Linked DNA regions of Macaca mulatta. The protein of the gene in region 1 interacts with the protein of each later gene in a biochemical or structural test. Links are inferred from orthologs where the notes say so. Each region holds a gene or a part of one and is shown on either strand. Other genes may lie near its edges.

Region 1 (4,359 bases):
ACGAGGTCGTGAAATTGAGACTATCCTGGCCAACATGGTAAAGTCCTCTACTAAAAATACAAAAATTAGCTGGGCATGGTGGCGCGTGCCTGCCATCCCAGCTACTCCAGATGCTGAGGCAGGAGAATCACTTGAACTCGGGAGGCGGAGGTTGCAGTAGCCCGAGATCGGGTCACTGCACTCCAGCCTGGCAACAGAGCAAGACTCTGTCAAAAAAAAGAAAAGAAAAGAAAAAGAAGAAGAAGAAGGAGAGGGGAGATCTGCCCGAGCACAGCAAGTCCTCAGCCAGGTCTGCCAGTGCAAAGGAGGGCAGGATTCCACCTGCCTGTGGTCCCAGGGCAGAGCCAGGGAGCCCCACCCCAAAATAGTTCTTGGGGTAAAGGCCTGGAACTTCCATACGCACTTCATTCTCCCAGCTCCCTTTCCTCCCTCTTTGCCATCATTTTTCTTTCTCCTTCTTTTTCTCCTTGGAGGTCCTAGTCTCCTTTCCCCAATATGTTAGGCCGAACACAAACTCCCCACAAGCAGATGTGGGTCAACCTTGCCCTCTGAGGTTGGGTTCTGCTAGGGTTTGGGCCTGCTGAGCCAGACACAGAGGAAGAAAAGCTGAGGCAGGCCTGGGGTGCAGCAGCTCAGTGTCCCTTGCATCAGCCCTGGAGAGAGACAAGGGGGCTGCTTGAAGGTGCCGTCTTCCTCCTGCCTGGAGAGGCCATATTTTTCAGCAGTAGGACATACACCTCTAGCAACCCTCGGGAGAGTTTACAGAAGCCGCGTTTAATGCTCTGAAATCACAGAGTGAGGAAATTATTCCCTGCCCACGGAGTTTTCAGTCCTTCTGCAAAGTCAAGAAGAAAATAGCTACTAGAGCCAGGAGGCCATCTCCTCTCCCCTCCCTCGTCACCCCTTTCACAGAGAGGACGAGCTCTGGGTCTTCACGATCTTTTCACTTTTTGCTAAAGCGTAATAGAAATTGGGTTTTGCCACCATTTGTTTTTATGTTTCTCTTTACCTTTCACCTATGGCAAGTGATACTGATTTTCCACTTATAACAGTGATGTAAAGTTTCCTTTCAAAACTGAGCTTGCATTGATAACAACAAGTGAGTCAAGTAAATATCAACACAGTTTCAAAAACATAAAGTGGATGACAATACTGGGAAGGAGCAAGTCGGGCGAGAGCTGCCAGGGCGGGACACACTGAACGAAGGAGCTTGGAGGCTCCAGGACTACTTTGCTTGACCTCCCTGAGCTCTGCCCGGGTCTCTGGGTTCCCGCCTTTCCTGTGGGCACCATTCAAAGCCAGTTCTCCTGGCTGGCTGCTGGGCCAGCTGCCACGGCTCGGACGCCAAGGGCACCAATGCCTAGCTCAGCCCCTGGCCCTCATTCCCACTGGGAAGCTGAGAAGGAGCTGGTCTGAAGCCCTGGGTCAGGGAAGATCTTTTGGACCCACCCGACTTTACTCTGGAGCCTGTGGCTGGGCTTCATGGGGAAGAGGAAAGGGGGCCGCTTTCGGATAGTCTGTTTCAGCTCAGGGGCAGAAGGCAGCCGAAATTCCGGAGCTGCTGCTCTGGAAAGTCCTGGTAGAGTTAGCAGGGCAAAGCTACACGCACAGAGCCGAAGGCACACAAACTCCAGCTCCTAGAGCTGAATGGCTTTGCCTGAACCAGTATGAGGCCACGGGCTTGGAACACAGGAGATCAAGGCAAGGGAGAGGAGATCAAGGCAGAGAGGAGGGCACCCCCTGCCCAGAGTCTCCCAACATATACCCAGTCCTCCAAGCCAGCTCGATGCCCCCTCCTGACTGGGTCTTCCTGGGTCTCCCCCATCACAAAATGAAAGCATCTGGCTCCCCGGCTGCAGGGTGGACCCAGATTCCCCTGGCCCAGAATTCTGTTTCCACGCCGGTCTCCCAAACCCCAAAATGTGAGAGCTCAATGGGGTCAGGACCTCTTGTATCTCCAGGCCCCTGCCCAGCTCCGGCCAGCTTGGACCCTGCATTCAACAGGGGCCAGCAAGTATCTGGGGAGCACAGTCCAGTGCCCCAAACCTTCTGGTCATCTGATTCCCTGGCCCGGGTGGCCAGGTGCCTTGTCACTTGGGGACAGCTTGAGACGTGGGGGTGGCCTTCATGCTCACTTATGCCCTAGACGACCCCAACTGGTTGTGCCGAAGCCATCAGCGCCTGGCTGTCCGGAACTCTCCCTGGCTTCCCTGAGTCCTGTTTTGGGGGTGCTGTCCTGTGATTGGCCTAAGCCTGCTGGACCCCAAGCCTCAGCTTCAGCATGGAAAGTACCACCGTCAATGGTCCTGCCTCTCTGGAAGGTGAATGGTTCCTTCTTAAGAGTTGGCAAGACATAGGAAATGGGGGAGTTCCTGAGCTTAAGGGTGGGAGGGGCACCTCCCTCCTCACACCCTGGGGACCTGTTGGTAAGGCACAAAGTATGCTTCCCACATTCTGTCACTCCAGGAGGCTTCTCATGATGGGCGCCTTGCCCAGGCACAGCCCCATCCCCTTGAGGGGCTCCTGTGTCCTATCCCAGCCCCAGATGCTGGAGCTCCCTGGTACCTGAGTATAGTCTTGGCTAAAAGATCCCAGAAAGGTGACCACAGGCAAACAACCAGAAAGGGGACTGAGAGGGCTGGATCTGGCTCCTCCAGCACTAGTGGCAGGAGATGAGGGAAGGGGGCCTACCTGAGAGGGCTGCTGTCAGCAATCCAGCGATCCCGAAGAAGAGCCACATGTCTGGAGCTGTCTCTGGCTGCTACACGCGGCTGCCTGTGGGAAGCACCATTTTGGGGCCGGGAGGTGGACACGGCCGTTGTGCGCCCCTGGCGCAGGTCTGCTCTGCCCTTCGCTGTTCCTGTTCCTGTGTCTTTCTGCTCTCTCCCCTCCGACACGCATGCGATCAAACCCAACCTGTGAGTGTCTCACGCCTCCCTGTTCTGCTTGTGGTTTTGGTCTGCAGGAAGCTGGGCTGCTGTTACAGGGGCTGGTGGGGAGAGCCCCAGCTGCCGGTGCTGGGAGCCCACCCATCCAGGCTGCACCCCAAGAGTCACGGAGCCAGACACAAGCATGCACACACATCCATGCAGACACACTTCCCCGAGGGTATTCTAAGAAGGCAAGTGGAGGGGCCATGCCTCATTTCTGGTGGCCCAGAAGAAAAAATTGATAATGTAGTAGCTGCTCAATCAGTACCTATTGGAAGAGGGAGGGAATGACCCTGTCATTCTGGGTCCTGGCATTGCCTGTCCCGGTCTGCATGATTTGGCTCTCATGGATTAAATCCTGAGTTTTATCTTAACTTTAGAGGCGATGGAGGTTGGGAAGGAGGGTGTGGTCTTAATGCACTTTTGGAGATAAGAGCCTAAGTCTCCCCTCAGAGAAACATAAATTGGGAAGGGCCTGAGAGATGACCATCCCACAAGTCCTTCTACAGGGAAGGGTGCCAAGGCCCTGTGGGAGCCGCCCCCTCAGATGGCACAGTGGGGCCAGCTCTCCCATCTCCAGGTACCAGACTGGGCATGCCTCTGTGGGAGTCAGGCATGGGAGCTGGGTCTACAAGGCTGAGCAGGCTTTTGATAAGCAGCAATGGTGGGAGGCCCCTGGGCCAGAAGGAACAGCAGGAGTGAAGGGCTAGAGGAAGGAAGCCCAGGGCTGCTGAGAAACCCCAAGTTGCCCCATTGCAGTGCAGCAGACTGACGCTATAGGAAGAAGGCAGGGACCAAGTGTGTTTAATTCACCACGGTACTCCCTGTGGAGCATATGGTAGGAGGCGAATAAATGTTTCTTGAATGAAAAAAGGAATAGATAATTCGGTTGTCCAAGCAGGACCCTGGAAGTGGTCAAATGCAGAAGAGGTTTGGTTCCAAATCCTGGCCCTGCCCCAGTTGGTCCCATCCCAGGTCCACTTCTCCTGGCCCTCCACTTCCTGCATCCTTGCTTGTCTTCATTTCTCCAACATGTGGAATGGGGAGGGGTCCTCCTCCATTGGGTTCGGTCCTAAAGGTGGGTGTATGCATTTGATGTGGCAAGTATTGGAGCCACGGGGAGCCAGGTGCCCCCAGAGTTAGACCCCGCCCAGTCCTGCCCCAGTGCTGGCACCTGCTGCCACTGCCCTCTGGTGGAAGTCACTGACAGCACAGGTTTGCATGGGTGCCTCAAGCTCCCAGATGCAATTCCATTCATTTACAGAGATTTGGTGTGCAGAACTCTGGACAGGACTCTGTGGAAGCGAAAGAGAGGAAACCATATTCCTGCCCTCAAGGAGCATGGAGTTCACACACACGTGACCAAACCACAGGCCAGGGTAGGACACACATAATGTGAGGTCTCCTGGTCCTAAGAGAAACCCGTTTG
Region 2 (3,818 bases), on another chromosome or scaffold:
TTTCTAGCTTGCCTTTCATCTTTCAACAAATATTTCTTGAACTTCAAATCAGTGTCAGGCTTCCTACTAGGTGCTGATTTCATGGACTGTGTGTTATAGTTAGCATAGTACCTCTGCCTCATTGACTTGTAAGCTCATTATTTATCTCTGCATCTCTCATCAGTGCTTGCGACATAGTAGCTGTACATTAAATACTTGTTCAATTGAGTTGGAATTTTCTTATACAGATCAGACTATGACAGTAAAATTTTTATAAAAATTGTTTTCCATCAACTGGATGAGAAATGGAATCGCACTTTTTAAACATATCTGCTACTATAGTCAATTCTCTCTGAAGAAACACAACTACTATCTCATGGTATTTCGATTTATCACCTGCTGTCTAAAGATGCTTGATTTTCCAACGTTTATGCCTTACCATCTCTTTATGTAATATTTACCTAGTCATCATCTTTCTTTATTTTCTTCCAGAAGTGACTTAAGATTTTTTTTCTTAAGGTGATAGACCCAAGGGGAATATTTATGTCCCCTCAAAATATCAATCATATTAACTGTAAATAAATGGATAATCAATTAGATTGACCATTCTCTTGTCTAAACTAGTCTCAAAGCTGGCTTGAAAAACCAGGCTAATCATGCTATAGTCCAATTATTTCAGTCCTATAAATCAGTTCTGAATGTCCAAATGCAGTTTGAAGAAATGTATTTTCTTTCATCTTTTCTTCTCCAAAATATTTTGACTATTTTACATTTCAGAGTTAGCATTTTGAACAGATTTTCTGCTTCACAGATTTGGATTTGTCCTTAAACCCAAGTGGAGAAGTGACCAGACAGATTGGTGATGCCCTACCCGTGTCATGCACAATATCCGCTAGCAGGAATGCAACTGTGGTATGGATGAAAGTAAGTAATATTTTTGGTACTACCCTGCTGTTTGGATTGATTTATTTTTAGGTTTCTTATGCACTTTATATTGTATTCAAGTAGATACATTCATGGATGTGTTTATATACCAGCTCGCTCTCTCTCTGTGTGTGTTTCTGATAAGATAAATAAAATAACAGTAAAATTTTAGAGGTGCTCATCAACAGGGTGACATCCATAATTGGTGTTCTGAAACTTAGTTTGGGGTGTTATGTCAATTATGTGTATAGATTAATTATACACACACACCACACACATGTGTGCACATACAAACATAGTTATATACCACAGGGCTTAACAATTTACAGTGTGGTTTTGCCCACATTATCCTTATGTGATATTTACAACAACCCTGTGAAATACAAGGATTATTATTTTCCCACATTATTCATATAAAGAAATTGAAGGAAAAGAAATCAGAAAGCTCATAACTGACAGAGACTCAAGGCCAGGCCTTACTGAGTACAAATACTATGCTTTGATAAGACACCTTTTTTGTCTCTCTGCAGCTGAGACCACTCTTAAGTTTCTGAAAACAGATTCCACTGGAGCAAGAACTCCTAGAAAGGAATCCCTTTTATCCCTGAGCTACAGTAGAATACCTGGAACATACTAGGAGTTAATTCAGTATTTCCTGAACAAGTGCTTACACTCCTGTAATTGTCTGAAATGTAGGCCATTGGCTATCCTTTTAGAATAAGGAAGTGTGACTGATAATTGGCGATCTGAGACAAGGTTATCACCAAAAGAAAAGGTTGTGTGTGATCCCTCCACTTAAACCCTTGGCTAGTATATCCAAACTCCCAGTGCATTTGTTACCAGAGCATGACATGTGACAAGAATCCTTAACCCTTGATGGGTTCAGAAAACACACATACCATTTGAAATAGGAGTTGACAAGAATTACCTTTATAAGAAACTGTGGAGAAATATTTTTTCTAGAGTTTCTTTTTAATGGAAATATATTAATGAAATTATTTTGTATTGCTTTACTGCCTGCCTTTTGATCCCTTTTAGCACTCAATCCTCTGTTACTTGTTGTGTTACTCTGTGAGCTCAGTTTCTTATTTTACTCTCAGCCACAGCGTCATCACAACTTGTTCACTAAAATAAAGTGCCACTTCCTGTGCTGCAATCTAGCATGATATGTATATAGTAATCAGTGATCACAAGGCTAGACAAGTTCTAGGCAACTACACTAATTCATAATCATGTGAACACTCATTGCGTATTTTACTATAGGACTAGAGAAACTAAGTTTACTGTGGCTTACACTGTTTTTACATCAACTGCAATCACTGTTATGAATTAACTGTCATGAACAACTCATATATTCAAAATAGTGATGATCAGTATTCCCTGATTATTGGTTAGTTAATGAGGAGTGGGAAAAAATATCCTAATGGACAAAGACCACATAATCTTAGGATCGTGCCTAGTTGCCTGCTTAGGAGCATTTCAATTCCTGACATAATGGGATTATTTTCTGTATATCAGGCAAGTTTTTAAAATTAAATGTTACATTTCTTTTGTTCATAGAAATTGGAATAAAAGCATTGTAGAGGGCATCACATGGTGAGCGGGCAAGAGCATGCCAGCTCAGCTCTCTATTCCTCTTCTAATAAAGCCACCAGCCTTATCATAAGGGCCCCACTATGATAACCTTATCTAATCATAATTACCTTTTGATGACCCCCACCTCCAAACATTATCAACGTGTGATTTTGGTGAATTAAGTTTTCCACACCAAATTTGGGGAACACATTCAAACCATAATACTCTATAATAGGTCCCCTGTGTTGATAACTGTATCAACAGTTTATGCGTTTGATAAGTGTATGAAATGACTTTCTTGCATGTATGCTCATCATTGGTTAGGTACCGCAAGTCTCCATGTCTGTCAATCCTATATCACCTACACGTACTATAAGGAGTAGGTACTATAAACTGAAAACTCCCCTTAATGTAAGCACAATATATTATTTGTATAATTAAGTCCTCAAAACAATTTAATTATGGTATATTATTACCCCACTTCACAAACAACGAAACTTGATTCTTACACGTTTATGAACACTTTCCAAATTATAAATTCAGTAAATGAAAGAGCCTGAAATAAAAATCTGGAAAAGGAAATCTATTTTGAAAGCATGTGAAGTTAAGAAAAAGAAGTTTGCATTTTTATTATTCCCAGAAGAATCGTTTTAGGCTTAATTATTATCTAATAAATACATTGAGAGTTTTAATTCTGCCACATGAGGTAATTTACTTTTTATTTAATCAGGATAACATCAGGCTTCGATCTAGCCCGTCATTTTCTAGTCTTCATTATCAGGATGCTGGAAACTATGTCTGCGAAACTGCTCTGCAGGAGGTTGAAGGACTAAAGAAAAGAGAGTCATTGACACTCATTGTAGAAGGTAATAAAATACTTGGGCACTAACTCAAATTATTCTTTGAGAATTTTATACCTGGTTTTTTTATGATCTCAGTTCAACATCTTATTTTAATTGTAATGATATTTTAGGCAAACCTCAAATAAAAATGACAAAGAAAACTGATCCCAGTGGACTATCTAAAACAATCATCTGCCACGTGGAAGGTTTTCCAAAGCCAGCCATTCAATGGACAATTACTGGCAGTGGAAGCGTCATAAACCAAGCAAGTATTTGTCTTCTTGTTACATGCTGCACTTTGTCCAATGTGGTTTTTTTTTCTTCACGAACTTACGCTGTAGGTTGGTTTGTTACCACATAAAATTTGCAGTACATGCTCAGAGGAAGCTTTTGCTAACTTCTTAATTTTCCCAAAGGAAGAACATGGCTCAAAGAGAAATTTTATCCCAGGGCCATGGAGAAGGGAGGAACCACTGTGTCATGGTCAGTATCTGTTTT

Evidence for each region.
Region 2: the proteins of CD6 (region 1) and ALCAM form a complex in vitro, tested with the Homo sapiens proteins (4 studies listed by BioGRID and IntAct). The link is inferred for Macaca mulatta from reciprocal best matches to the Homo sapiens genes CD6 and ALCAM.

What each region holds. Positions count from the first base shown.
Region 1 is NC_133419.1:13,100,082-13,104,440, forward strand, and holds the start of CD6 (T-cell differentiation antigen CD6), read right to left. Parts: upstream 2,964-4,359; 5' UTR 2,741-2,963; coding exon 2,692-2,740; exon of another isoform or gene 1-2,691.
Region 2 is NC_133407.1:178,103,301-178,107,118, reverse strand, and holds part of ALCAM (CD166 antigen precursor), read left to right. Parts: intron 1-790; coding exon 791-903; intron 904-3,208; coding exon 3,209-3,344; intron 3,345-3,451; coding exon 3,452-3,585; coding exon of another isoform or gene 3,586-3,589; intron 3,590-3,818. UniProt on the Homo sapiens protein: Cell adhesion molecule that mediates both heterotypic cell-cell contacts via its interaction with CD6, as well as homotypic cell-cell contacts. Promotes T-cell activation and proliferation via its interactions with CD6.